Linked DNA regions of Rhinolophus ferrumequinum. The protein of the gene in region 4 purifies or fractionates together with the protein of the main gene of each other region. This does not show direct contact. Links are inferred from orthologs where the notes say so. Each region holds a gene or a part of one and is shown on either strand. Other genes may lie near its edges.

Evidence for each region.
Region 1: the proteins of RELA (region 4) and TWIST1 purify together in Homo sapiens (affinity purification with western blotting; 3 studies listed by BioGRID and IntAct, with this or other methods). This does not show direct contact. The link is inferred for Rhinolophus ferrumequinum from reciprocal best matches to the Homo sapiens genes RELA and TWIST1.
Region 2: the proteins of RELA (region 4) and RPS3 purify together in Homo sapiens (co-immunoprecipitation; 5 studies listed by BioGRID and IntAct, with this or other methods). This does not show direct contact. The link is inferred for Rhinolophus ferrumequinum from reciprocal best matches to the Homo sapiens genes RELA and RPS3.
Region 3: the proteins of RELA (region 4) and PML purify together in Homo sapiens (affinity purification with western blotting; 3 studies listed by BioGRID, with this or other methods). This does not show direct contact. The link is inferred for Rhinolophus ferrumequinum from reciprocal best matches to the Homo sapiens genes RELA and PML.

Annotation. Positions count from the first base shown.
Region 1 is NC_046303.1:20,389,086-20,396,486, forward strand, and holds TWIST1 (twist-related protein 1), read left to right. Parts: upstream 1-4,735; 5' UTR 4,736-5,097; coding exon 5,098-5,700; 3' UTR 5,701-5,742; intron 5,743-6,245; 3' UTR 6,246-6,895; downstream 6,896-7,401. UniProt on the Homo sapiens protein: Acts as a transcriptional regulator. Inhibits myogenesis by sequestrating E proteins, inhibiting trans-activation by MEF2, and inhibiting DNA-binding by MYOD1 through physical interaction. This interaction probably involves the basic domains of both proteins.
Region 2 is NC_046294.1:50,086,932-50,093,756, forward strand, and holds the start of RPS3 (40S ribosomal protein S3), read left to right. Parts: upstream 1-3,817; 5' UTR 3,818-3,928; coding exon 3,929-3,958; intron 3,959-4,796; exon of another isoform or gene 4,797-4,943; intron 4,944-5,099; coding exon 5,100-5,230; intron 5,231-5,509; coding exon 5,510-5,603; intron 5,604-6,043; coding exon 6,044-6,138; intron 6,139-6,825. UniProt on the Homo sapiens protein: Component of the small ribosomal subunit. The ribosome is a large ribonucleoprotein complex responsible for the synthesis of proteins in the cell. Has endonuclease activity and plays a role in repair of damaged DNA.
Region 3 is NC_046289.1:98,761,192-98,768,496, forward strand, and holds the start of PML (protein PML), read left to right. Parts: upstream 1-4,287; 5' UTR 4,288-4,433; coding exon 4,434-4,568; intron 4,569-6,250; coding exon 6,251-6,717; intron 6,718-7,305. Other genes in the region: STOML1 (stomatin-like protein 1), read right to left, coding at 117-223, 1,974-2,106.
Region 4 is NC_046294.1:6,052,285-6,059,503, forward strand, and holds the start of RELA (transcription factor p65), read left to right. Parts: upstream 1-4,215; 5' UTR 4,216-4,370; coding exon 4,371-4,377; intron 4,378-4,882; coding exon 4,883-4,909; intron 4,910-5,018; coding exon 5,019-5,170; intron 5,171-5,305; coding exon 5,306-5,454; intron 5,455-6,272; coding exon 6,273-6,364; intron 6,365-6,697; coding exon 6,698-6,829; intron 6,830-7,219. UniProt on the Homo sapiens protein: NF-kappa-B is a pleiotropic transcription factor present in almost all cell types and is the endpoint of a series of signal transduction events that are initiated by a vast array of stimuli related to many biological processes such as inflammation, immunity, differentiation, cell growth, tumorigenesis and apoptosis.

The DNA.
Region 1 (7,401 bases), on a different chromosome or scaffold from region 4:
TTTTAAAAATTAATAAAAGTTACATAAATCAGCCAGACATGCCCAAATGACATTTGTTGATTGTGTAGTATTTTTGCTTTTTTGTGAGTTTTCCTTTTCCCTAAGCTTTTTTTTAAACAAAGTTCTCTGGGAAATTGTGTCCTCTTGTGGTCACCGGCAAAAACAGCATGTTTTTTGCAGAAACAATCAATCCAAACAATGAATATAGGATTTAAGGCTTGGGGATAGGAGGAGCCATTTGTGGATAAAAGAAAATCCCTGGAAGTAAAAAGAGTTGCAAGTTGTGAGTGATTACAAAGGGAACATTAGCTGGAAAAAGGCAAAATGCAAATCATTTGATTTACATTTAAATTGCTTGATTATCAGATGATTAAAAAGAAGGGGAAAATGTTTACTATGTAGGAAGTTTTCGGCCATGACAAAAGCATCTATGAATAACTATGAATTTATCACATTATTTCTTCAATTATTGCAGCAATTTTTTGAAATAAGTAAAATGAGATGATTTTAACAAGGTTACTTGGCAGCAAAGATGGGACACAGACTCTCTAGCCTGCACACCCAATAAACTAACAAAGAGAGAGGGAGGAAAGACTCTTCAAAACTCCATACTTTTCCACTCTGATTCTTCTCTCCCTACAATTTCAGCAAGTTATGTCTCCTTATTTCATCCTTGTTTTAAGTGCAGAATGCCAGCTATTTGAAAAATTAATATTTATTTGAAAATTTGATTGGCTTATTTGAGGTAATCTTGGCAGCTCAATTTCTTGTGACTTATACTTTCTCATTTAATTTCTGGATTGAAAGCTTCAAATTTTCATTCCTTGTAACTTTAGTTCCTCACTCTTAAAGAAATTCCGAAAGAGAAACGTAGAATCAGTCCAATGCATGAATTAACCTACCATTAAATGAGAAAAAGAATGACCTCTAATTTAGGGCAAGGTGTTCCAACATCATTAAGGCTGCCTGTGTCACTGAGGAAGCATCTGCTTTTTACACAGAGGATCAAAAGTCCTTTGTGCTGACATAAACTTTATGTTCCATTTCGATAAAATTTTCTCATTTAAATCCCGGTAGTGTGCAAAACCTGATTTAATCTAAGATGTGCAATGTCCTGGCAGATCTGCTCCACTGCAGCGTTTTCCAATTTGCGCCCCCTTCTGTGTGAATGCCATGCTTCATTCATGAAATTCTGAGAAATTATTTTACAGAACTCTAAGCCAGCAAACAGGTGGTAGATCATCCAAAGACTGAGAAGAAGGAGTACACACAGATTTAAGTACTCACCTTTTGTGCAAGCCCCAACTCCAAAATTTACCGACTTGCTCACCATTTCATAGTGTATGGGTGTTTCCTTCTCTAAAAGTATCTATAAATGACTTGCTAAGAGAATGGCAGTGCATATTCCAACTGTAAAGATACAGATATAAACATACTTATGGAAGATTCTCACTGAGATTCCTAACTGTTACTGCTAACAGCATTTTTAATTTGTAACATCACACACATTCTTCAGGAAGAACTGCAAACAGGACTGCAAACATGCCAAGTTTGCAGTTTGAAAACAAAGCTCGTTTTGAACTATCGAGTGCAAAAGAAAACTTTTTTTTTTTGTTTTCAGTTAAATTATTTTTCAGGGAATTTATGCTAGAAGTAAACAAAATGATTTAATTCCAATTAATCCAGTATTCCCAAAGAAGGTAGTCCTCCACCGAGGTCCTTCAAGTCAGGCTGAATTCAGCCCCAAAGGTAAATTTCTAAGACTCTTTAAGAACCCGCAATTAAGCTTTTAGAATTAAGTAAGCTTTCGTAGGTTAAATATTTTGGAAGCTATCATTGCATATACAACATATGCAGAATTACATTTGGCTCTTCAGCACACAGAAGGGGATCCCACCTTTATTCGTGCACCAGCAAGAGTGGGTAAGAAAACTGTTAGACAAAATGTCAAGTAGGATATATAGCTACAGATGAGCAGAGTGGTGGGATAATCCAGCCAGGAAACGTTGTAGTTTGCAAAGCAGGGTGTTTCAAGCCCGACACGTTTTGCAAGGTTAATTCATTGGGCAAGCTACATCCTTGGGCTCAAAAAGTAACATGTGAGCACTCGGAAACCCCTCTCAGTCTCATCCTCCACTCTTTCCAAGAGTTCAAGAGAGATTTCTTGTCAGAACTACAGTCATTCATTTTGATTCCGTCAGAAAGATTCCGTGCCCGGATGGTTCTGGTTAGGTCACTCATTTTAAACCTTCTTCTAGGCATTCTGTCATCCAGAGCTTCGCCTCAGCCCTGGGGATCCCTGTACTAAATGGCCCCCTAGAAGTTTAGTGCCCGAGAAGGTCTGGGCTCACTTGTTTAAGAACTAGTCTTGGAGATTGATGACTTTGCAAGTCGGGCTGGCTAATGATCCCTGGCTGCTGCGCAGTCATGGACTCGGTTTCTCCTCCAGTTTCTCCGCCCCCATTTCCATCCCCCCAACCCCAATTCCCCTTGGTCAGGTAAGGTTTCCTTTACACTTTGCCCACACTTTCCTGTCTTGCTTACCCACAGCCACAAAGGAAAGAGTCCAATTATTCGATCTCCTTAGTTTTGAGAATTCGGCTAAAGGGAAAAACAAAAACAAAAAATTAAGTTTGGAGATTGATGCTTTAAAAAAAAAACCGAGATAGGCAAATGTGGAAGGAATATTTTAAAGAATTCTGAAGTCACGTTCAAGTAAGAATCGCGGAATACTCTGCAACTCAGATTTCCAAGAGAGAACACTAGGTAGAGAGGAGGGCAGAATTTCTGCCTTGTTCTCTAACTGCTTCCAAGAGATAAAGTCCTACGGCAGAAGATGCAAACACCAGGGTGACTAATCAGAGTGAGCTTTGTTTTAAGGAGACCTGCCTACGTGGAGACCTGCCTATTAAGTGGAGGTCAAGTAGAATTTGATTTTCATAGAAGCTGATTTTAAAATATGGCAGCGACTCGCGAAGCAAGAGTTGGCATGCAGTGGTCATTGTTTCTGAATATTCGTAAAAATAGTGATAGACAAATCCTGCGAGTCGGCCCTCCCTGCCCCCCAAAAAGTACAAAGTACAATCTTGTGAGCTCCCCGCGGGAGAGATGCCTCTTGCCCTCACTTCCCCTAGAAGACTGAGCCCTTCAGTTGCCCCAAGCGCTCCAGACCCCGGGTTTTCCCGAATCGAAGCTGCAGGAGCCTCAGCCCCGCACAGCCACGTGGCCTGCCCTCGCGTCGCCCGAGCTCCCGCCTCCTCCATAGGGCGCCCGCGGCCTCGACCCTCTGTCCGACCAAGAAAGGGGCACTTCGCTCAGTTAATCCATGGCCTGCGCAAGGGACCCGAGCGCAGGGCACACAACACCGGCATCCCCCAAATCTGCCACCCCCCCACCCAACTACTACTTTTGACCTGTGGTTTGCTTTGCAACGTAAGGCGTGAATATGAAACGGTTCTTCTATCCCAACGCGTTCAAAAAAATAAAAAGAAAAACAAAGCCTTGCATTGCAAAGATGGGCTTCTCTTCCACAGCGGCTTCCCTTCACTTCACCAGCTCACCAACTTTTGTTGCTTCCAATCTGTCAGATTCTGCATTAACACCCTCTTAGGGGATCTTCGTTAATTTATTGGATAGAAATGTTTAAAATGTAAAAGTGTCCAAATAATTGGAATGCCTTTGGGGCGCAGGAAGCATTAATTGCCCGCTCGATCTCCTAGGAATGGGGGGTGGGGGTGGGGTGTGGGGAAGGGGACTCTCACAGCTGGCAACAATGTTGAACCCCCATCTCACTCTCTTAGGAGCCGACCTTTAGGGGTCACAACGCAGGACCTTATTTAGGAGAGGGGGACGAAAGGGACACAGGGTCCTCCACCTTGGGATGGCAGCTCAGGCGATCAGGGCGGCGGCGAAGACGCTGCGCTGCCCACTCCGGCCCTGACGCCTACTCCAAGGACAGGACTGCCTTCCGCGGGAGAATTAACTTCTGCCTCATTCTGGCACCTTCGTAGATGTAGTCCATCTGGGTGTTGGGAAGCTTTAGATTGGATGACTGTGGAGGGAAAAAGAAGGCCAGATGCTTCTAGGGGAGGGGTGAGAGAGCAGGCCGGGGCGCAGATCCTCAGTCCCCACGGCGCGGCCACGTCTTCAGAAACGCCCACGACCTCAGGGCCAGCCGCGGTGGTTTGGCCCTTGGGACTCCAGGGCCCCGTCTATCTAACCATTGGGTGGGCTCCGCGTTGCCAGTTGTCTTGCCTTTCCCCCGCCCCAGCAATCCCCAACCGGCCCCACGGACCTAGAGGGTACTGTGGCGAAATGAGACATCACCCACTGCGAAGAAGCTGTTGCCATCGCTGCTGTCACAGCCACTCCGGGAGGGACCGACACCGCGGCCGCGACGGTCCCCTCCGGCCGCTTCCCGGGGCTGCACTCCGGTGCGGGGGCGCGGCCCGCGCCCGCTCCTGCGCGGAAGGAAATCGTCCCGCGCCCGCGGGCGAAGGGCGGCGGGGAGGGAGGGGGAGGGCAGCAAGGAGGCGGGCAGAGGGGCCGGTCTCCCGAGCCAGGTCGGTTTTGAATGGTTTGGGAGGACGAATTGTTAGACCCCGAAGAAGGGGGGTGGGGACGGAGAAGGGGGGCTGGAAAGCGGAAACTTTCCTATAAAACTTCGAAAAGTCCCTCCTCCCCACGTCAGGCCAATGACACTGCTGCCCCCAAACTTTCCGCCTGCACGGAGGTATAAGAGCCTCCAAGTCTGCAGCTTTCGCCCAACTCCCAGACACATCGCGGGTTCGCCGGCACCCGCAGCGTTTCCAGGAGGCCGAGAGGGTGTGCGTGCAGCCGTTGAGCGCTTACTTTTTGGACCTCGGGGCCATCCACACCGTCCCCTCCCCCTCCCGCCTCCCTCCCCGCCTCCCCCGCGCGCCCTCCCTGCGGAGATCCTCCCCGTCCCTCCTCCCGCTCCCTCCTCGGCGGGCCGCACCGCCCCGGCCGGCGCCGCGCGCTGGGGAAGCTGGCGGGCTGAGGCGTCCCGCTCTCCTCGTCTTCCCCGGGCCGCCCCTCTGCCCCGGGCCTGCAAGGCCGTACGTTGCCGCCCGAGAGATGATGCAGGACGTGTCCAGTTCGCCAGTCTCGCCGGCCGACGACAGCCTGAGCAACAGTGAGGAGGAGCCGGACCGGCAGCAGCCCCCGAGCGGCAAGCGCGGGGGGCGCAAGCGGCGCAGCAGCCGGCGCAGTGCAGGCGGCGGCTCGGGGCCTGGCGGGGCCGTGGGCGGGGGCGTCGGAGGCGGTGAGGAGCCGGGCAGCCCCGCACAGGGCAAGCGCGGCAAGAAGTCTGCGGGCTGCGGCGGCGGCGGCGCGGGCGGTGGCGGCAGCAGCAGCGGCGGCGGGAGTCCGCAGTCCTACGAGGAGCTGCAGACGCAGCGGGTCATGGCTAACGTGCGGGAGCGCCAGCGCACGCAGTCGCTGAACGAGGCGTTCGCCGCGCTGCGGAAGATCATCCCCACGCTGCCCTCGGACAAGCTGAGCAAGATCCAGACCCTCAAGTTGGCGGCCAGGTACATCGACTTCCTCTACCAGGTCCTCCAGAGCGACGAGCTGGACTCCAAGATGGCAAGCTGCAGCTATGTGGCCCACGAGCGGCTTAGCTACGCCTTCTCGGTCTGGAGGATGGAGGGGGCCTGGTCCATGTCCGCGTCCCACTAGCAGGCGGAGCTCCCCACCCCCTCGGCAGGGCTGGAGACCTAGGTAAGGACCGGCGCCTCTGCGCCCCTTCGCCGCTCAGGTGGCAGAAAGACTAACGGCCAGGCCGCGGGTCCCTGCCCTCCTCGCCTTCCTTCTCCTCTCCCTTTCAGCCTTCCCACCCAACCTGGTACCGCCACCTCATCCCGAGTGTCCCTGGAGACAGTCGGTCCGGCTAGGGAGAGTGGGCTGCGCTTTTGGGAGGGGTGTGCGTGTGCGTGAGTGTGCGTGACAGGAGGGAAGACTGAACAAGAGGCAAGGGTCTTGGGTTAAGGACAGTCTTGCAAGCGCCTCCCTTTCTTTTGGCTTTAAAGTTTTCGTTCTCCTTACAACCAGTGTTTCCAAATTCCACCTCCTTTCCGCCCACCCACTTCCTCTTGCCCTTGGGCTGAAATCCTTCCAGGTTGTTCAGCGTAATTTCTCGGTGGTGATAAGTGCTCACTAGTCTTAGAAAACAGCCACAGAGACTTAAACAATAACCAACTTTACCCCCTTTTGGGTTTTTGCAGATGTCATTGTTTCCAGAGAAGGAGAAAATGGACAGTCTAGAGACTCTGGAGCTGGATAACTAAAAATAAATATATATGCCAAAGATTTTCTTGGAAATTAGAAGAGCAGAACCCAAATCCAAAGAAACAGGGCGTGGGGCGCACTTTTAAAAAAGAAAGCGAGACAGGCCCGTGGACAGTGATCCCCAGACGGGCAGCGGCACCATCCTCACACCTCTACATTCTGATAGAAGTCTGAACAGTTGTTTGTGTTCCTTTTTTTTTTTTTGACGAAGAATGTTTTTATTTTTATTTTTTCATGCATGCATTCTCAAGAGGTCGTGCCAATCAGCCACTGAAAGGAAAGGCAACAGTATGGACTTTTCTCCATTTTAAAATGGTAACAATCAGAGGAATTTTAAGAACACCTTTAGAAGTAAAAATACTGGGATCAAACTGACTGGCAAAATCATAGTCAGTTAATTCCTTTTTTTTTTTTTCATTCTTCCTCTGAGGGAAAAAAAAACTTAAAATACAAAAAAACAACATTCTATTTATTTATTGATGACCCATGGTAAAATGCAAATAGATCCGGTGTCTAAATGCATTCATATTTTTATGATTGTTTTGTAAATATCTTTGTATATTATTTTTCTGCAATAAATAAATATGATTGAAAATTTTAAGAACTTTAGAGTTTGGTGTATATTTTTAAAACTCAGGATTAAGTTGGAGGTAAATACCTGCTTGTTTAACTCTGGAGGCATCCAGGAGGGAGGGGGCATTAATATAAACAAAGCAGTGAAAAACTCAAATAAACTAGCTACTGACAGGTACTGGCATGTTATTTAGAAAGACAGCTTTATTATTCCAATTTGGTATCCAGTGGGCTTAGAAGCACCTCTCCTTCGTCTCCTATCAGGTCCCCAAACAACAAAAACTTAAACTTGTTATTCACCTCCCTTGCTTATCTTTTGAGGAGGTAGCTGTAAAACAGTTAAATGCAAATCAGCAGTATGAAACCATTACTATTTTCTTTTGTTACTGTGTATTTTTCACTTTTTGTGAGGACTTTTAAATACTAGGTTCGTTTCAGTGAAAGGATGCATGAAGTGTTGTTAAAATTATACACATATAAATGAATACAAGTGCATAGAAAATAATAAAGTTTAATTCA
Region 2 (6,825 bases), about 44 Mb from region 4:
CCCAGGCAAACAGGCAACAAGATTGGTAAGACTCCTTATAAGCTTTCTTTTGTTCAATAAGTCTGCAAACAGTAACTAAGTGCCCTCTCTTTGCCAATCACGGTGCCAAATCTCATGGAAACAAAGAAAAGAAAACACCATTGATTTCTGCGTTGAAAGAGTACAGCAGCACTGCCCAACAGAAATATAAGCCACATATGTAATTCTGAAATTTCTGGTAGCCGCATTAAAAAAAAAGCGAAAGAAACAGGTGAACTTAATAGCATATTTTATTTAACTCAATACACCTGAGATGTTATTGTTTTAACATGTAATCAATATAAAAATTATTGTGATATTCTTTTTTTATATACTTGTATTTTACAGGTAGAGCTGTTTTTCTACTCAGACCAGCCACATTTCAAGTACTTAATAGCCCATGAGGCCAGTGGCTACCATGACAGACAGTAGAGAATTATAGTTGGATTAAGAGAATAAATTTTTCTTTACCCTAAGATTTCAGAAGACAGGATTATGGGATTTGGTGTTGGAGGCTGGTCCACTCACATTTTTTTCACAAGTGACCACATGATCAGAAATCCATGTATGTTGTTTGTGGCCCTTGCATTTTTTTTCTTTTTTTATTCATTTTCAATTTCATAAGTAATATGTGATATTCATAAGTAAATAGTGATATTTTTATTGTAAGAAAAGTTGAGCAATAAAGTAAATTGCCTTTTTACCACCCCCTCAGTACTGCTCCATTCCCAGAAGTAAGTTTAGCTCTCTATTAGTTGGCTATTGATTCTTCTACGCATCATTTGTATTCATCTATGTTTTTATTTTATTGTACATCAATATTATATAGTCCATATTGTTCTGCATCTGTTTTGTCACATAGCAATATCTCTTGGTGCTCTTTTCATGTGTGTACATACAGCCACCTCATTCTTTTTAGTCATTACATAATATTTCATAACTATTTCCTTGCTGAAGGGCTTTGAGCTGTTTTTTTTTTTTTTTTTTTTAAGATTTTATTGGGGAAGGGGAATAGGACTTTTATTGGGGAACAGTGTGTACTTCCAGGACTTTTTTCCAAGTCAAGTTATTGTCCTTTCAATCTTAGTTGTGGAGGGTGCCATTCAGCTTCAAGTTGTTGTCCTTTCAATCTTAGTTGTGGAGGGTGCAGCTCAGCTCCAGGTCCAGTTGCCGTTGCTAATTGCAGGGGGCGCAGCCCACCATCCCTTGTGGGACTCGAGGAATTGAACTGGCAACCTTGTGGTTGAGAGCCCACTGGCCCATGTGGGAATCGAACTGGCAGCCTTTGGAGTTAGCAGCATGGAGCTCTAACTGCCTGAGCCACCGGGCCAGCCCTGAGCTGTTCTTAATTTATGTTTTCACTATTGCTAACAGGGCTGTAGTGAGCATTCTTGCATCCACCTCCATGTATGTTTGTGTAGGTGTTTTTCTGGAGTAGATACAAAGGAATGTATTTGCTGGGCCAAAGGGAATCTATAGCTTAAATTATTGTGGGTATCATCAAGTTGCCTTCCAAAAAGATGCCCAGTTCACACCCCACCTACAGTGTGAGACTGCTCGTTTTCTCATGCCCTTCCATACACTGGATCTTACTTTTATTGTAAGTAAGAAATGTGAGTCCTTGAGCAATGATACAATGCAGTAAAAACAAAACATCTTTTAAAATTTGTTCTACAACCAACAGCATCATAACCCTGGAGGAAGTAACATATTTAACACGAGGGGTGGGGAAGGAAACAGCCAGTAAAGGAAGAGTATCTATCACACAAAGGGAAGGCATGATTGCTAGAGCAAGGTCTCAAAGGAATAGAACTAAACTTGAACTAGAACACACAGAGGAGGCTGACCTTGGTCAAAAAGAGGGTCTCTTTCCTGAGTAGGGAAGGATGGCCAAGGACACGTACAATTATAGGACAGAGAGGCAGTTCTTGCCTGTACAATCTATTGGGGGGGCAATAGGTTAGGAGGCAGGTTGACAGCTAAGAATGAGAAGACAGTTCTGATTTGATAAAGATTATGATAGGCACTGTGGGAGAATGAGAGCCATAGCTGAATGAGGAAATATTTTGACCCCAGCATGCAAGGCTGGGTGCTCTCCCACAGTGCCCACATCCCAAGTGAGAGCAAAGCAAAGTCAGGTAGGCAGATTCACCTAGGTTGAAATTTTAGCAGCCTGGCAACACTGAATTAACAGGCCATGAGCTGGATGAAAAGAGAAGTGAAGAACAGAGGGAGATGACATGTGAAGAAAAAAACCTGTGCCTGGGTTCCTCATCTCAGTGAGGGTTGTCACCAAGCATCCACCACTGGAGTCAAAATCCAGGCCATCAGAGCTGGCCCGGTGGCTCAGACAGTTGGAGCTTCGTGCTCCTAATGCCGAAGACTGCCGGTTCGATTCCCACATGGGCCAGTGGGCTCTCAACCACAAGGTTGCCGGTTCGACTCCTCGACTCCCGCAAGGGATAGTGGGCTGTGTCCCCTGCAACTAACAACGGCAACTGGACCTGAAGCTGAGCTGTGCCCTCCACAACTAAGATTGAAAGGACAACAACTTGACTTGGAAAAAGTCCTAGAAGTACATACTGTTCCCGATAAAGTCCTGTTCCCCTTCCCCAGTAAAATCTTAGGGGGAAAAAAAAAAAAAAGGAAAACCAGGGCATCATTCTCAATTCCCCCCTTTAACCTCAATTCATCATCAAGATGCATCAGATCCATAGCCTATCTGTCTCTTTGGTTCATCCACTTCTTTTCAGCTTCCCTGGTCCCTCTGCTCAGCTCCCTCCAGAACTCTGTTAATCCCATGATTACAGGACAGATCTTTGCGTCAGACTTGTTTTACTAGTGGGGAAAAGCTCAAATGGCTTCTAGGACCAGACAAGAAATGAATGAAGCTGCCAGGGCACATGGAAAAGCCCTTTTGCCATCTAACAAGGAAGGAGAACACAGTCATGAGGAAATGTAGGCCTGATATTTTGCTAGATCCTTCTATATTTTTAAAGAATAACCTAAAACAATTTAAGAGAGAAATATACTGATTTTTAAATGCAGGCAAACTATTCTCAAATTTAAAATAACTCTGTTGAAGTGTTTAGGGGTGAAGTGTACTGATGTCGGCAACTTACTTTGAAATGTGTCAAAAGATGCATTGGTGGGTGGGTAGAGGGATGGATAGATACGTGATAAAGCAAATAGAGCAAAAATGGTCGTTGCAGCACCTACGTGATGCATATATGCGGATGCACAATTCCTTCAACTTTTCTGTACGCTTGAAGATTTTCATAGTAAAATGTGGGGGAGGGGGGACTATTTTTAATTGAAAAAGAATTGTGAGGCCATGAACCACTCCTTTGTTATTTCTGTTACAAGTTATAACAGACTTTATGAACGTGAGGTAGGGATAAATGAGTTAATAATATAAAGCACACAGAACAGTCCCTAGAAAGCTTCAAGATATTATCATTTGGAACGGAGGAAATGAAAACAGATCGGAAGAGCTGGGCGCCTAAACGAATTTCACTGTAGACTTTCAGTCAATTTTCATTTCAGTGTGGAGTGTAGGGACCAGGGTTCCACGCTTGTTAAACTCTGTTCCTGTGTGAGTTATACTTGTAATTTTCATCTCTACACCTCATGTTGCTCATTTTTAAACTACAGTTATGAGAATTGGACTTGGACTCTAAGTTCCCCAGCAATATCCAAGTTCAGATTGATCGGTTCCGCCTGTTTCCGCCTGTAGGTGTCTCCCTTACTTTTCCTTTTCCCTGACGGCCTTCCTAAAATAAAAACTGTATTTCCCATGAGCACCCACAGGCGTCGACGTCGCGCAGTTCTTTGTCGTCACGCCGCGCCCTTTATACCCACTTCCGCCTGCGAGCCACTTCCTTTCCTTTCGGCGGCGCACGGCGGCAAGATGGCGGTGCAAATTTCTAAGAAGAGGAAGGTGAGACGTTGGGGCCCGGGTGCAGGGGATCGCAGCGCCGCGGGAGTCAGGGGCTTCTCGGCGTGCTGTCACGGGACCCGGAGGTCCGTGCCCTACCCTGGGAAGTGGCTTAGCCCCCGAGGCATTCCCGTGGGCCGCGGATGGCGGTGGATGGAGTACGGGGCCCGAGGCGAGCGAGTGCGGTGTGGCGGAGAAAGGAGACGATTTCTGCCGGTTCCGGGCGGAGAGCAGAGATGAGCACCGGGTGCCTCTCCTGCCTCGGAGAAGGCGATTGTGAGCACTTTTTGCTCGACGAATAAAGTTAGTAAATGTGGTATTTTGAGGGCATGAGCCATTCCTTTCAGATATTAACATCATGGTTTTGGGGAAAGGTAGGTAGCAGTGTATTCCTGCCGCCTTAATACTCGTGTCTGGGTGCAGCCTTCAGACCCCAAAGGCCTTAACTGGAAAAGCAGCTGACAACTTCTTGCTCCATCTAGGAGACCTGGGAAGAACGCTTCCTCGGGTTCAACTCACTTTTTCATGAGAGGAAAGAGTAAAATTCATTAGTTTTAGACATAGGCAATTAGACATTGTTTGTATACTTACATCCATGTTAAAATTAAATCCACGAGCTTTTGTGAGGATTTGCCGGGTCGGTAAGACAGGTACATCCAGTAAGGCAAGATAACATGGCTGGGATTCTTCTGATGGTCCAGGTTGTGCCTGCAGTGTGACTGACTGCTTAATCTGTCACTTGGCTGGTGGTCCTGCTGTGCTGAATGAATGAGTTGTAAATGTGCCACTTTAGAAGTTTTTCGTTTAATTTGTGTACATATAAGTGACAGTCTTTAAAACCCTTCAATGAAGAGAAGATGACGAGTCTGACTGGAGGTGTTGTCTGTCCAGGTGCCCCTGCTCTGTGCTGCGTTCTGTGACACAGTTTTAAGGGTCCTGGGTCAGAGTAACTTCCAAAAGATGACCTAGAGGCATTTGTCTGAGAAGGGTTGCTACATTCCTGTTGGAACAAGGGTAATCTGATTGACGGTGGGGAATTAGTTGGAGGTATTGAATTGATGAGGGTTGTATTGGCTGGAAGGCTAGTAGGCAGGAAAAAGTGAGTCTACACACAACCTAATTTTGAACTTTACTTTTTGGTTAGTTTGTTGCTGATGGCATCTTCAAAGCCGAACTGAACGAGTTTCTCACTCGGGAGCTGGCTGAAGATGGCTACTCTGGAGTTGAGGTCCGAGTTACACCAACCAGGACAGAAATCATTATTTTGGCCACCAGGTAAAAACTTACTCTCCTGGCCATCACCTGTAATTGTTGCATGTACACTAACGTGGGTTCGTTCGGTAAACTTAAGGGCACAGCCAATGAATTTGGCCTTAGGAAATGTAATTTTTTTTTATTGCCTTTTTTTTTTAGTCTATTCTTGTCGTCCGAATTTTATACTTGCTTGTATTGTGTGAATGAGATTTTACTGCTGCATACATGCAAGATTTGAACTTACATCTGGAATTTTGTGAGAGCTGTGAATTGTCACTTTTTTTTTTTTATTTTCCACAGGACACAGAATGTTCTTGGTGAGAAGGGCCGAAGGATCCGGGAATTGACTGCTGTGGTTCAGAAGAGGTTTGGCTTTCCTGAGGGCAGTGTAGAGGTGAGTGATCCAGACTGATGCTAGAGGTTACTGTGAACCTAGAAATGGCTCTTTACGATGGTACTTCTAAAAACCTTTACCGTCACACTGAAGAAGACTTTGTTTATTTATGGTCGGTGAGTAGTGCTCATTTCTGGTGGTTAAGGGATTTTCACATTCATCGTGGGTATGGTAATGACACATATGATGGATTGGCTGCCCCATCAGTCTCCTTGGTTTGGCTGTAGGAAGAGCTGTGCGAGGGGAGGGCAATGAGGATTGGCTCAGCCTAGGTCACTGAGCGTGAGCTGGGTGTGGGTAGTAGACGTGCTTTAGTATTTGAGCGATACTGCGGTAAGCTATACAAACCTGTATGCTTGTATGGCGAATGTGCTCACTTTTAATCGAAAACAATGATGAAAGGAACATGTTGAAAGATATACCTTGTTTCTTTTTTAAAGCTGTATGCTGAAAAGGTGGCCACAAGAGGTCTGTGTGCAATTGCCCAGGCAGAGTCTCTGCGTTACAAACTCCTAGGAGGCCTTGCTGTGCGGAGGTGAGTGTCCCTGTTTTTGTGGATTAGAATGTGGCGTGTCTGTCGTCTTGTTCAAATGAACTTTTCTACTCGGCAGACTGCTGATGTCTGAGGGTTTTAACAAAAGCTACTGTCAGTCCACGTCCTTGCTGAACTGGCACTCTAGCAAGAAAGACTAGTAAAGAAGCAAGTATTTAAAGAGTGGTCAGTGTGATGATGGAGAACTGTTCTAAGTTTTTGGGAGTAAAACAAAAGTAAAACTCCAGGGAGGGGAGGTTAGGATTCCTGTTGAAGTCATTCAACTCCATATGTGAGAGAGCTCAAGATCTAGTCACTTATCTCTGTGAGCTGTAGATAGTAACGTGAGGAGGCCTGGCCTATAAAGGACATGGAGTGACTAGATTGGCCCTGAAGCTGGGGCTACTGATAAGATTTCTTTGTGCAGTTTGACTATGAAATAATTGGAATGCCTTACCTGGGTGTTTGGAATTTAGTCAGTACTCAGTGCAAAGCCCAGGATGGGGGGGGTTGGTTCCGCAGAGGAGGGTCATGAGGGCTGTGCTCTAGGGTAGGAAAGGCGATAGGTGAGGACGTATAGTATACTACCTGGTTTAAATGCCTGGGCCATCGTCTGACAATTTAGGGGAAAAAATTCTCAGTGGCCCAGTTAGTCTGTTTTAACAAGCCTTCCAGGTAATTTTTGCACAC
Region 3 (7,305 bases), on a different chromosome or scaffold from region 4:
TGCTCGTACAATATTTAAGGGAAGGGGGCAGAGCACAGGGAATTTGTCCATCATCCATCAATGCCAAAGCTCTCAGTGAGACCCAGCCACTCTGAGGCCAACCCAATCATCCTCACCTTCAGGGCAAACCAGCCGGAAATGGGGAAGGTGATCAGCAGCAGCAAGAACCCCAGGAAACTGATGAAACCGTGGCAGATGCAGGAAGGCCAGGTCTGAGGAGCATCTAGGGAAAGAGAACAGGCAGGCAAGGGGTGCCAACTGCAGGCAGAGTGAACGTAGTCAAATGTACCTTTCGACCTCCTCCCACTTCAGCAGCTCCTTCTTTCTCAGGGCTCTCGATCTGCCTCCTTGCCTAATATTCCCATATCTTTGTGCAAGTCCCACCCTCACAAGGCTATTCTCTTCTGGGCAACAGCCACTGGATCTGAGAAGCCAAACCACGTAATGCTCTCCTCACTGGGCAGACAGAACGTAAGTCAGTCTTGTTGTCTGATTTATACTGCCTTCCCATACATGGCACAAAGCCAGGCGCATCTGGGCATCTGTAAACACCAGCTGAGTTGAACTGACTGCTGTTGCATAACTCATCCCTCTTCTACCATCAGTCCCAGAAGTGTGCTTTCAAGGAGTCCTTTTGCAGATAATGCCTTAGCCCAAAGGGATAAAGCATTAATGACTCACCAATAGGAGCCATAGGTGAGGGCTAAGATGTTCTTTCTTAGCTCACATTCTTCAGTCCATTTTAATGCCCTAAGGACCATCAAATGAATGCTTCACTTAAAGAGCTTCAGGTGGGAGATGGGGGAGGGGCAAACTAGAAAGAGGAGGCTCATTTGAGCCCAGGGTGTTGGCCCCTGAAGAGGAGCCCAGGATGAGTGAAGCTGAGGCAGCCTCAGAATCTGGGATGAGGTTATCTGCTCTGCTTTCCTCCCTGCCCTGGACGGGAAGCAGACTGGAGCCTCTGCTCCATCTTCCCAGGAACCGCACACCCTCAGGGCTCTCCGAACCCCAGGATACTGTCTCCTTTCCTGCCTGGCCCTGATCCACGTGTCCCCTGCAGGAAAGGAACCCTTGGATGGGGCAGCTGTCATTACAGGAGGGCCCGGGAGGGACCAAATCCTCCACGGCTTGGTGTGAGGCTGAGGAATGTGGGATCTGGAATGTGGAACTCAGGCTTTGAAGCAAGACAGGGCCAGAGCAGACCCACAGACCACTAGGGGCCTTTTTGGCTAGTGCATCTCCACCAGGAAACAGGGAGATGTTCAAGCTCAGGGTGTCTAGTCTAGAGGTGTCCTGGGGGTGAAGATTCTGCCATTTCTCTGCAGCCAAGTGCCCTTCGTGTGCGGATGACCTTCTATGGCTAGACCTTGGTTTCTTTCTAGTCAAAACGGCAACTTGAAACCTATGCCCAGGTTTCCTCCTCTTCAGAAAGGGAGGGTTGTCTGCATTCCTGGGGTCCCTCAGGAGTCCTCGCCTCCTCCTGCATGTTTCCGCTGAGCCTTAGAAAAGGTGCATGAGGGGAAATTGGCGTTGCAGGGGTTTTTTCAGGAGCTGAATCCTCTCCAGAATCAAGGAAATGACATCAGCACTCCCTCTCCAAACTCACGAACTGGGGTAGGTGTGTACGCGGGTGCTGGTAGGGCAGGCGTGCTTATCTAGAATTACGGTTTCTCCAGGGCGCGGTCAGCAAATTATTCTCCTTTGTGTGCCCACAGCCCAGCAAGCAGAGCTGATAAGAGCGGAGGAGGAACGAGGTGGCACGAGCCTTCCTAGACGATAAGAGCTCCGCAGCTGCAGCCCCACAGCCCCAGACAGGGCCGCGCAACGCCAGCATCCAGCGCCCAGTGCCGGCCCGTCTCGCTCCCTCCTCTTAGAGTGCGAGCGCTAGAGCAGCCGACTCCTGACAGGCAGCGAGTTCGCGCTGGGGATGCCGGCGGTCCCCCCGGGGTCCGCAGTGCTGGGCGGCCACTCACCAGCTTCCGTCTGCACGCCGCCGGGCTCCGGGAACAAGCAGCCCTTCTGCGAGCCCAGGAAGCCTAAGCTCGACTGCTGGAAGCGGTCGAAGTCCCCCAACGGCAGCGGCCGGTACCCAGACCTGGCGAGCATGACTCCTGACGGGACACACCCCCACTCAAAGAGCGCGGCCCGACCTGCCAGCCCCTGCGCCGCCCCCCTGCGGCCCCCGCTTCCGGGTTTCCGTGCCCCGCCGGCGCGCAGCAAGAGGAGGCTGGCCCGCTAGGCTCCGGTCGTCGCACAGCGCCACCTGCTCTAGGAGGACCGAACTGCGGCGGCGGGGCGGGACGGTGAGCTGCGTTCCTGGGAGCCCGCAGGAGTCCTCGCCTTCTCCTGCATGTTCCGCCTGGGCCTTAGAAAAGGAGCATGAGAGGAACTTGGCTTTGTAAGGGGTTTTTCAGGAGCCGAATCCTCTCCAGGATCAAGGAAATGGTACCAGTCTTCTCAGCACTCCCTCTCCAAACTCACATACTGGGTTGGGTGTGTGTATGTGTGTGTTGGGAGGGGAGGGGTACTTATCCAGAATTACAGTATCTCCAGGGCATGGTCAGCAAATTATTGCACTTTGTGTGCCCACTGCCCAGCAAACAGGTACTGGCACAGAGTGGATCTCAGTACTTGTTGACCAGGTTACTGTGGTCAAGGTGGGGCGGGAGGGCCTGAACTTGGGCACAAAAAGAGAGACATTTCATGTGCAGACCTCAGGGAGCACGGTGGAGTAAGGAGTGGAGGGTTAGCACAGAGCTACCACGTGGCAGGCCCTCCAGAGCATCTCAGACGTGGGATCCTCAGTCCTGCAGGTCTCGAAATAGCACATCCCTTGTTCCAGGTACCCAGAGGTAATGTGACTCTCCACGCCTGAGCAAACCCAAATGCAAATTGCGGATTTAATCTGAGAAGCATTAACTTCCAATAGGGCATTGAGGCAGGCTGTCTTTCAAAAGAGTGAAGAAATTAATAAAGCTTTCCTTGTCTCGGGCACATGCCAGTCTGCCTACTCATGCCTCTCAGTCCCCCAGCCATAGCCCAGTTCCAGGTCCCTTCTGCAGATGGCTGCTCACCATCTTTGGCTTTTCCTAGTTTGATGGCCTGATTCGAAAGCCCTAGGAGTACTGATCAGGTTGGAGGTTAGGGCCGGCTCCTGGGGCCTCACACAGTCCCGGGGAACTTGGGTTTCCCCCCATTTCTCCTCCACACACCTTCATAAACTTTTACAAGAGCAGTGCCCTATCACCATCCCTTCAAGCCTGTTCCAAGCTGTAACTGAGCACAGAATGGGTACCCAAGAGCCAGCACAGCGGTTGGGATGATTTGAAGTTTGAAGTCAGGGGCACTGGCCCAGTGAGGCCGCCTGGAGCTGTGCAGTCTCCCCTCACCAGGTGGGGGTCTGGCATGCATCTCTGCTGGCCAATAGCTAACTTGCTCTCTCCTCACTCTTCATACCCATTCACCAGCTCTCCCCCTCCCCCTATTCCCCACTGCCTCAGATACACCAGCCTTTCCAACTGTCACGCAAGGCATCACCCTGTCCTCCTCATCTCCACTCGTGTCCTTCCAGTGTCTCTGACTCAGATCCCTCCTTGCATCGCACAGCCACTGTCCTAGACCAGGCCACCTGCCCCTAGGTTGTCTGAGTGACCTTTACAACATGCACAACAAACACATCACGCTGTACCTGGATTCCAACCTGACTCTATCGCCTATAAAACTGGTCCATCTACTTAGCTTTGATTTTGCGCCAGCCCACTCCTGGGCCGATATAGCTCTTGGGTCCCCTCTTAAATCAGAAAAAAACCCAAACTACTTTCTAAACAGGCTCTCCTGTTGCAAACCTCCATGCCTTTGCATATGCTGTTCGCTCTGTTTAAAGTGTCTCCCCAATCTCTGAATCCCTGGTGAATTCCCACCGTTTCAAGTCCCAGCTGAGGAATCTCCTTTCCAGCCAGTCTCAATACAGTGTGAAAAATCTCCGTTTGAGGGCCTGCCCTTTCACTAGATCTGGGGTTCCTCCAAAGCAGGAGTCACGTGTGGCTCATCTCTGTGTCCCCCGACTTCCAGCGGAGGGCTGGCACAAAGCTGTACCACTGTGAACTGATGGAAGGTTCAAAGCGGAGGGCAAGGGATGCCTCCCCCAGGTTGGCTGGGCCATCGTCCGGATCATACCCCCAGGTCAGTTGTGCGTCTCCTCTCCGCCTTCCTCCTCACCGCCCTGGGCGTGTCTTCGAAACCCCCAGTCGGCTTCTCCGCCCCTTGAACCGCCCCCAGCTCGTGTGTCACTTCCTCCCGGGAGGCTGGCGGTGAGTCGGCACCACCACTTTCGGACAGCTCCGGAGACTCAGCCATTTGGCGCACGAGTCTCGTTCAGCCTCTTTTCCCGCCCCTTGAGATCAAATCCGAGAATCGAAACTGCGCTGAGATCTATGCCCCAGGAGCTGGCACCCGCCCGATCATCCGGGCCCCAGCAGGACCCCGCACTGCCCCACACGTCCACCATGCCTCCCCCGGAGCCCCTGTCCGCAGGCCAGCAGCGCAGCCCCGGCCACAGCCCCACAGAGGTACTGCTGGGTTTGGGGAGATGGGGTTTCGGCTCTGTTGATTTGCAATGGTGGGAGAGATGAGAAGGCAGAGGGAACTTGGCCACGTACACAGAGGGAAAACCAGATGCCAGGGTCCTGACCCACTTGGCTCGATTAGGGGTAGGGGAGAGTAGAAAAGGGAACGAGGGGATGAGTTAAGGGAGCCACTCTGGGCTGCGATTCTCCACCGAGCAGTGCCACCTGGGACCGGACACTTCCGCCTGCGCGCCGCCGACTTGCCTCTTTGCCCTTGCTGTGACCAAGGCCGGCAGGTTAGGAGAATGGAGGTAGTAGCCCTAAAGTCCCCGCCTGGAGCCAGGGTCATGTTCCACGTGTGGGGGTTAAAAAACAACAACAACAAAAAAAACACCCAATCCCAGCTCAGAATGGGAAACCGTGGCCCGGACAAGAGAGCTGTATCAGCTAAGGCCTCCCAGCTCCTGTGGTTTCTCCCCTAGGAAGCCTTCCAGATCCTTCTCTGGGAACACTCTACTCGCCTAACCCCTATCACCAAGAGGGGTTTATTAGGCTTTCCTCCTGTAAGCTTTTGCCTTAATCTTCTTCCGGACAAACCCCAGCCTTACATACCCGAAGGAACTACTTAGACACAAGCTCGATGTTCTTCCAGACCCGTTTGAAAGCACAGATTGCAGTAATTCGTATTATTTGCATAATTACAACTAGGGATAGTATTGCTTAACATTACTAGTTAACATTTATGAGCACTTTTCAGGTGCCAGGTACTGTAGTAAGCACTTTTTTGCATTTTTTAAATTGTGGTAAAATAAACACAACATAAGATCTGCCATTTTAACCATTTCTAAGTGTATGATTCAGTGGTATTAAGTACATTAACCATGTGTAACCGTCTCCACTGTATATTTCTGGGGTTTTTTTCAAATAGAAACTCCGTACCCCTTAACACCTTCCTCTCCCGTTTCTCCAGCCCCTGGTAATCTCTAATCTACTTTCGGTCTCTGAATTTGCCTACTCTAGATAATTTCTTATAAGTGGATTCATATAATATTTGTCCTTTTGTTATTTAGCATAATGACCTGAAGGTTCATCCATGTCGTAGCAATGTCAGAATGTCCTTCCATTTTAAGTCTGAATAATATTCCATTGCATGTATATGCCACATTTGCTTATCCATTCATCTGTTGATGGACGTTTGGGTTGTTTCCACCTTCTGGCTGTTGTGAATAATGCTGCTATTTATGTGGGTGTACAAGGATCTGTTTGGGTCAGTGTTTTCAGTTCTTTTGGGTGTATATCTAGGAGTGGAATTGTTGGCTCATATGGTTGATCTCTGTTTAACTTTGAAGAACCACCTAACTGTTAAGCACTTTATGTGAGGTTGATACTTAATGTATCTTCTTTCTAAACTGAATTCCATGAAGACAAATATATCTTTGTATCTCAGGGCCTAGTACTTTGTCTGATGGAAAGTAGATACTTAATAGATTGCGGAATGAGAGTGAGAAGGCCTAAGTAAATGGGAAACTGGGGTGCTGATAAACCTGGGTTTTGCATCATCCTATGACTGCCTGGACTGGAATGTGAAATCCCATTCCAGCCTCCAGCCTTTGGGGCAGGTATTGGGTGGTTGAGGATTCCTGGGACCTCAGGCCTCATCCTCCTCCCCTCTGGTCCCCCCTCAGCAAGCCACGGAGGAGGACTTCCAGTTCCTGCGCTGCCAGGGCTGCCAGGCAGAAGCCAAGTGCCCTAAGCTGCTGCCTTGTCTGCACACGCTGTGCTCAGGATGCCTGGAAGTGCCCAGCATGCAGTGCCCTATCTGTAAGGCGCCCCAACTCGCAGGCACTCTCGGGCCGGCCCTGGATAACGTCTTCTTCGAGAGTCTGCAGCGGCGCCTGTCGGTATACCGGCAGATCGCTAATGCACAGGCCGTTTGCACCCGCTGCAGAGAGTCAGCCGACTTCTGGTGCTTCGAGTGCGAGCAGCTCCTCTGCGCCAAGTGCTTCGAGGCGCACCAGTGGTTCCTCAAGCACGAGGCCCGGCCCCTGGCAGAGCTCCGCAGCCAGTCGGTGTGCGAGTTCCTAGACAGCACGCGCAAGTCCAACAACATCTTCTGCTCCAACCCCACCCACCGCACCCCTGAGCTGACGAGGTGAGTCAGTGGGCGGGCTGCGGTGGGGGGGCCGCATCCAAGAGCCGGGGAGAGGGTGCGGGGAGCAGAGATCCAGGGTCATAAAGCTGAGAACGTGGGATAAGGAGCTTGCAGGGTCTCGCAACAAGCAACATCTCTGACGATGTGCACAATTTATGCTCTCCGACCTGAGTGGATAGTAAGAGTTTATGATTTTCCACTCTAATAAATAATGCTGCCGAACCATCTTTGCACCTTATTCGGTAATTCCTTTAGGATCAATTTTTAGAAATGCCATTGCTAGGTTAAGGGGTATGAAAATTTTACATTGTTACATGTTACCAAACTGCCCTTCCGAAAATCTTAATAGTGGAATTCTCCGTAAGTGCTGCTGTGGGATCTCCCTCCGTATAGCTCCGTTTGATTCTAGTGGGATAAAATGCAAGTAGTTAGTTTCTGCTGAAAAGTCACAGTTGTAATACCGTGCTATCTGGGAATGTAGGTATGGCGGTTATTATTTTTATTAAACAGCACAAGATTTTAATTCCTTTTTTGATAAAGACTACAATTAAGTGTTTAAAAAAAATTAGGAACAAAATTTATAGAGAG
Region 4 (7,219 bases):
GGATCTTGGAATACATCAGTGAATAAAATAGAACCCTGCTCTCATAGAGCTTACATTGTTGGGGGTTGGGTTTATATAACAAAAGTAAATATATTAAAAAGTAAATTACTTAGTTTATTCAAAAGTGATTGGAGAAACCAAAAAGAATGAACAAGGTAAAGGAGATGGGCAGGTTGGTTGCAATTTTAAATAGGGTGCTGAGGGCAGGACTGATGGAAGTGTATATACTTAAGGAAAGATTTAGAGAGGGAACAACGGAAGAGCCTTGCAAATAGTTGGGGGTGCAGGGGACGTGGGGCGGAGTACTGTTTCAGAAAACTAGACCACAGTAGGGGGAGAAAATAACCTCAGATCATCATGGGGGACATTTCCACCATGAACATTTTGGTAGAATGTCCTGTAAACTAGGGGTGGGCAAACTAAGGCCTGCAGGCCAAATCCAATCCTTTGCTAGTTTTCCTACAGCCAGTGAGCTAAGAATGGTTTTGTATTTTTTAATGGTTAAGAAAACAAAAGAATATTTCACAACAAATAAAAATTACGAAATTCAAAGTTCAGTGTCCACATATAGTTGTATTGGAGCATAGCCATACTTTTGATTCATTTACTTTTTGTCTATGACTGCTTTCACACTAAAATTGAATAATTGTGTCTGAAATACAAAGCCTAAAATACTATCTGGCCCTTTACAGAGAATGTTGGCCACCCCCTGCTCTATAAACTATTGTGCTATCTTTTGAATACAAAAATAGGTTCTTCCTGTATATACTGTTTTGTGACCAGCTTTTTCACTTAGCAACATAAATTGAACACTAGTCATTAAATATTCTACAGCACAGTTTTAATGGCTACATAGTGTTTCGTTATTTAGATGCACCTTAGCTGCCATAACTAGTTGCCTGTTAGCTATTGTTTTTTTCTTTGTTTGTTTGTTTTGTTTTTCTTTAAGATTTTATTGGGGAAGGGGAACAGGACTTTATTGGGGAACAGCGTGTACTTCCAGGGCTTTTTCCAAGTCAAGTTGTTGTCCTTTCAATCTTAGTTGTGGAGGGCACAGTTCAGCTCCACGTCCAGTTGCCGTTGTTAGTTGCAGGGGGCGCAGCCCACCATCCCTTGCGGGAGTCGAACCAGCAACCTTATGGTTGAGAGCCCACTGGCCCATGTGGGAATCAAACCGGCAGCCTTCGGTGTTAGGAGCACAGAGCTCCAACCACCTGAGCCACCGGGCCGGCTACATCTATATATGTATGTATGTACGTATGTATGTATGTTTTAAGAGGAATGTTGGGGAACACTGTGTTTTTCCAGAACCCATCAGCTTCAAGTTAAGTCGTTTTCAATCCAGTTGTGGAGGGCACAGCTCACTGGTCCATGTGGGAATTGAACCGGCGATGTTGGTGTTATGAGCACTGTGCTCTAACCAACTCAGCCAACTGGCTGCCCCTCTTCAATCCATTTTGAGTTAGTTTTTGTATATGGTGTTAGGTAAGGGTCCAACTTCATTCCTTTGCTTGTGGCTAGCCAGGTTTCCTAGCACCATTTGTTGAAAAGACTGTCTTCATTGAACAGTCTTGGCACTCTTGCCAAAAATCATTCAACCATGTATGTGAGGGTTTATTTTTGGGCTCTCTATTCTGTTTCATTGGTCTATATGTCTATCTTTATGCCAGTACCACATTGTTTTGATTACTGTAGCTTTGTAGTAAGTTTTGAAATCAGGAAGTGTGACTCCTCCAACTTTGTTCTTCTTTTTCAAGATTGTTTTGGTTATTCAGGGTCCCTCAAGGTTCCATATGTACTTAAGGATGGATTTTTCTATTTCTGTAAAAAGAGAATTGAGATTTTTTTGACATGAGAGAATATGTAAGATGATTGAGGTTAAGTTAAAACCCTGTAGTCCTAAACTTGAAAAGGAGATATGAGTATGAATTCCTGGTGCATTTCATATAAAAATATACATACTCATATATATTGCCTAACTGTTCACTGAAAAGGTCCATAATGATTGACCCACTAGCAATAAGTATCCCTAGAACTCAGACTGTGGTCTCTAAATACCATTTCCCAGTAAAAGGAATCAGAATTCCTCAGAAAGCTGTCTGATTCCAGATCTTGGACACTATTGGAATTGTGTCAAAAGGACCGAAGAACCAACTTCAGAAGGTTCCCAGTGGCCAAAGATGGAACAATTTGAACTTCAATAAGAATAATTAAAACAGATTAAAGCATATCAAGTGTTTAAATCCATGCATTAAGACTTTTTTAAAATGCATGCATTAAATTTTGGAGGATGCTAGAGAACCAAGGCATTATTTTGAAAATTGATAATGGGAAATTCTATACCCTAATAAATCACTTTTAGGTATATACTGAAGAAAACTCCTGGATACATGTACAACAGGAGACAGTCACAGGAATGTTCTTAACCACACTGCTTGTAATAGTGAAAACTGGAAGTCCAAATGGCCATCCGCAGGATGAATAAATAAATAACCTGCGGTGTATTTACACAACAGAATAGTATGTAGCAGTAAAAAGTGAATGAACTATGAAACATAAACCTTAGTAATATGTTGAGTGAGAAAAGCAAGTAACAAAAAACAAGATACTCTCTTCATAGAAGTTCAAAAGTAAGCGAAACCAAGCAACATATTTGTGTAGCCATGTATATGAGTAAATTTTTTTTCTTTAAAAAAAAACGTCAAGGGAATAACAAACAGAGAATTCTAGATGGTGGTGCCCTGGACACCGGGATGAGGGGATGGACAGATGTGGAGCACCGAGATAGATGTAAGTTCTGGTGGTGTCCTATTCAGCCCCTTGAGTTTTACAGTCAGCACAACAATTCAATTTATTGATTTGTTACAAATATATATGAATTTTTTAAAAGAGGATCATGCAAGGATCAATGATGATTGTGTGTCATTAACCAAAGATTATAAGTAACCCATTCTGTGGACTTGAAAAGTCAGCCTCCTCAAAAAAGTAAACTGACTTTCCTAATCCTGGCCAGCCACAGGAGAAACTGAAATGAGTGGGAGGGGTGGTAACTATTTTCACTTTTCTTTTCCTGTTTTTTCAGAGCCTGGTAAAGCAAGTCAGAATTTCCAATCTTTTCCAATTCCCATAAGATTCCTTAATTTAGAACGAATTCAGAGAAAATAAAGTCTTTTTCCATCTGGAGAAGGCTCCACCGCCTGCGATGGAGCATCCTCATTCTGGGATGAGGAACCGGTCGGGGGTGGAGGGTGCTCCAGCCCCAGCCTCCACCCTCATCCCGCACGAACGCCGCCTAGGGCTTGAACTTGGGGACAATATCCCCCTGAGGAATCACATGACAGTTAATCAGTGGAAATGGTTTAGCCGACGGCTGGTCCCTTGCAGGAGGTCCTAGGGAGACGACGGGCGGCGTGGGGTGCGGCGGCGAGACACGGCGAGTTCTAAGCGGCCCCTGGGGGTTCCGGACCTTCTCAGATAACAGGCGTCAGGTGGCAGAGACGAGGCTCCAGTTGATATACCCCTGGGCGCCTTATGCTTAACCCATTGCCACCGAGGGCCGGCAGTGTGATGCACCTTAAACTGGTGTTTGAGTTGGAAGCGAGAAGCTCTCGGCCCGGTCCGCCCGCGATAGCGGACGCAGTACGGAGCTTCTGTCGCCCCTTGCGTGCAGCAGGACACGCTTAGCCCAGTGACCAAAGCACCGCCATGTGAAGAGGTCCGGGCCCTTCCCTTTTCCCTCCGCTGCATCTAAATTAGTGTGGATGGGAAATTTAAAAAGTACTTCTGCGGCGACAATCACCAAAAGACACCTTTTAGCGATTAGGAAACTGTGAAATTCAGTCACTCGGCCAAAGACGGAGTAGGCACGGGCCTTTCCCTGAGCAGGGCTGGCGGCAGGAGCCCAGCAGTCGTAGGTTTGCTCCAGACCCGGCCCGGGTGACATCACCAAACTCCTCTGATTGGCGGGAGGGGGCCCCGAAATCCCCTAAAAACATTGTGAGTAATCGCCGGGTCCGCCCTCCAGGCGGGGCCCAGACCCAGAAGCAAGCCGAGCCTCCCGGCCAGCGGCCTCCGGACCGACTCGGTCTCTGGAAAGGCGCACTTGCTGCCGGTCTCCGGCAGCAGCGTGCACGCTGCCTCTCCGTCCTTGGCGCAGCGCCCAGTGGTTCCCGGCCCCACAGGGGGCGGCGGCGGCAGCGGCAGCGGCGGCGGCGGCGGCGGCGACGGCGAGGCGCGCAGGCGCGGCTGCTTCCCGGCAGTGACGCGGCGGCGGGCGCGCGCGTCGCATTTCCGCCTCTGGCGAATGGCTTTGCTGTAACGCGCGCCCCGGGCCCAGCTGCGACCCCGGCCCCGCCCCCGGGACCCCGGCCATGGAGGGTGAGGGCGTCCTCTGTTCCCGGGGGATGGCCGCACTGGGGCCGGAGGGACCGCGCCGAGAGCCTCCGCGCTACCTTCCGCCCCTTCCTGCGCGGACGGGCGCTGCGCAGGGAGCGGCCGGCCGGATGGTGGCGCGGGGCGGGGCAGGCGTAGAGGGGTCTGACTCATTTTCCCCTCTGGGTGGAGGGGCCCTTGACTCAGTATTTTCCTTGGGTGGAGGGAAAGGGGGAGCTTTGATTCAGTTTCCTCCTCGGGGCACAAGGGGACAGTTCTGACTTAGTTTCCTTGTTAGGGGAGAATGTATCTGACTCAGTTTCCCCCAGTAAGGGGAGAACTCCATCCCCAGTGTTCTCTCAGGAAACAGGTGTTTCTGGCTCCTTTACTCCCACCCCTTAGATTCCCCCGCAGCTTCCAGGGAGCAGGCCCTGACTCAGTTTCCCTGGGAGGCTCTCCTTGGTGAGGATGGGATGTGGGCTTGTGCTGACGCTTGTCTCTCCCCTTTCAGACCTGTACCCGCTCATCTTCCCCTCAGGTAAGTGGACCATCTTTCCTCAGTGGCTCTGGAGGAGCTCCCCAGGGTTGGAGTGGTGGGAGCAGCTGCCTGATGGGGGTTGGCCCATGTGCCCGGTGTCTCCCCGCAGAGCCAGCCCAGGCCTCTGGCCCTTATGTGGAGATCATCGAGCAGCCCAAACAGCGGGGCATGCGCTTCCGTTACAAATGCGAGGGTCGCTCAGCAGGCAGTATTCCAGGCGAGAGGAGCACTGATACCACCAAGACCCACCCCACCATCAAGGTCAGCACCGGCTGCCTGGCATGGAGTCAGCGGGTGGGACCGTGAAACCCCAGCAGGCTTACCCCCTGCAATCTGTGTCTGGGAGTTGGGTCTGGAATTCCTGAGCCTCTACGGTGCTCTCTGTACTTTGGACAGATCAATGGCTACACGGGGCCAGGGACAGTTCGCATCTCACTGGTCACCAAGGACCCCCCTCACCGGCCTCACCCTCACGAGCTCGTGGGGAAAGACTGCCGGGATGGCTTCTATGAGGCTGAGCTCTGCCCAGACCGCTGCATCCACAGGTGAACACCCCACAGGCGGGCAGGACGTGGGGGGTGAAGTGGGAGGACAAGAGGCTATGCAGTTGTGTCGCTGTTACAGTGTTACTGCTTTCTGGACACAGAGCATAACTCGCACTGTTTACTGGCAAACGGATTTCCTTTGTCTTGAAATTATCTGTGCGTCTACTCTCCCAAGCAGACATGAACTTGGTGGGATGAGGATGGGTCTCTGTTTACTTCTAAGCCCCCTAACCCCTGTGGCTGGAAGGGCGAGTCCCTCAGTGTCACATTCCATGCAGTGAGAAAGAAAATCACTGAGCCAACAGTTTCTCCTGTAGCTTATGGACAGGAGACTGTAAATAAATATATAAATAATTAAACAAGATACTGTTCAAGTGTAACAATTTTGATGATGAAAATAAAGCAGTAATAGATTGGTAGAACGGCCTGGGCTGGGGCAGGCCGGGGAGCTGGTCCCATTAATTTGAACTGGGAGGTCGGGAAGGCCTCTGTCAGGAAAGACTTGAACCGTGAGAAAGAACAGAGAAGCACGAGAGAACATTCCAAGCAGAATGAACAAGTGTAAAGGCCTTGAAGTAAAAGTTTGGAGAACAGAAAGAAGCCCTTGTGCCTGAGAGTAGGGAGCCACAGGGACTTGGCTGGTGCCAGGTCACAGGGTAGAAGCCCGTGTCACTCGGAGTCCGGATTGGGTTTCATTGCAGCACAGTGAGGGGGTTAAGCACAGAGTGATGATCTGGTCACGGGGCGGAGGAAGGGGCAAGGCAGGAGGGCCCAGGCTCTGCTGGAGACAGTGTGATTGATGCTTGGGGGGGACTCAGCTTCCAGAACCTGGGGATCCAGTGTGTAAAGAAGCGGGACCTGGAGCAGGCCATCAGTCAGCGCATCCAGACCAACAACAACCCCTTCCAAGGTGAGGGCTGAGGGGGCGAAGGAGCACCCCACCCTGTCACCCTTCCAAGGCCACCTTCCTTCCCTGCATCTCTCCCTCATTGGCCGAGCCTCAAAGTACAGATGGAATCTCGCTGCCTATTTAGTACACATTCCTGATTTACCATTGGGGAAACCGAGACCCAGAGAGGGGACATGACATCCAGGGTCATACAGGTCAGCGATGGGGCTAGAACCTTCTCTTCCTCCTCTAGGACTCCTGTTTCACACACCCTCAAACAGCCCTGCCAGCCCAGAGCTCCTTGCCCCTGAGTGCCCCCTGCCCTGGCTCTCCTGACCGTCATTTTTCTGGCAGTTCCCATAGAAGAGCAGCGCGGGGACTACGATTTGAATGCTGTTCGGCTCTGCTTCCAGGTGACAGTGCGGGACCCATCAGGCAGGCCCCTCCGCCTGTCACCTGTCCTCTCGCATCCCATCTTTGACAACCGTGAGTGGCCAGGGAGTACAGAAGGGGAGAGGGATGGGCCTGTGAGGAGACCTTGGCCTGCGAGAGGTGCTCTGGCTTTGTTCAGTCATCTTGCGTGTTCGGCTCTGCTGGCTTGGGGGACAAGGCAAAGAAGACCCAGAGCTGCCCTTGTGGCGTAGCTTCCAGGCTGGCAGGGAGTCACATGGGAGACAGACATTTCCAATATGTGGTGAGAAATGATGTGCCCAGAACTGTACTAATGACTGCAGGAAATACACTCCCAGGAACAAGACAATGTTGAAGAATAATAATTCAATGATGAAAGCTCACAGATGAATTGGGCTGACATTGATTAACTGCAGTCTTTAATTAAGTTACCAACAGGATGAATGAATATAAAAGGGCTCTAGA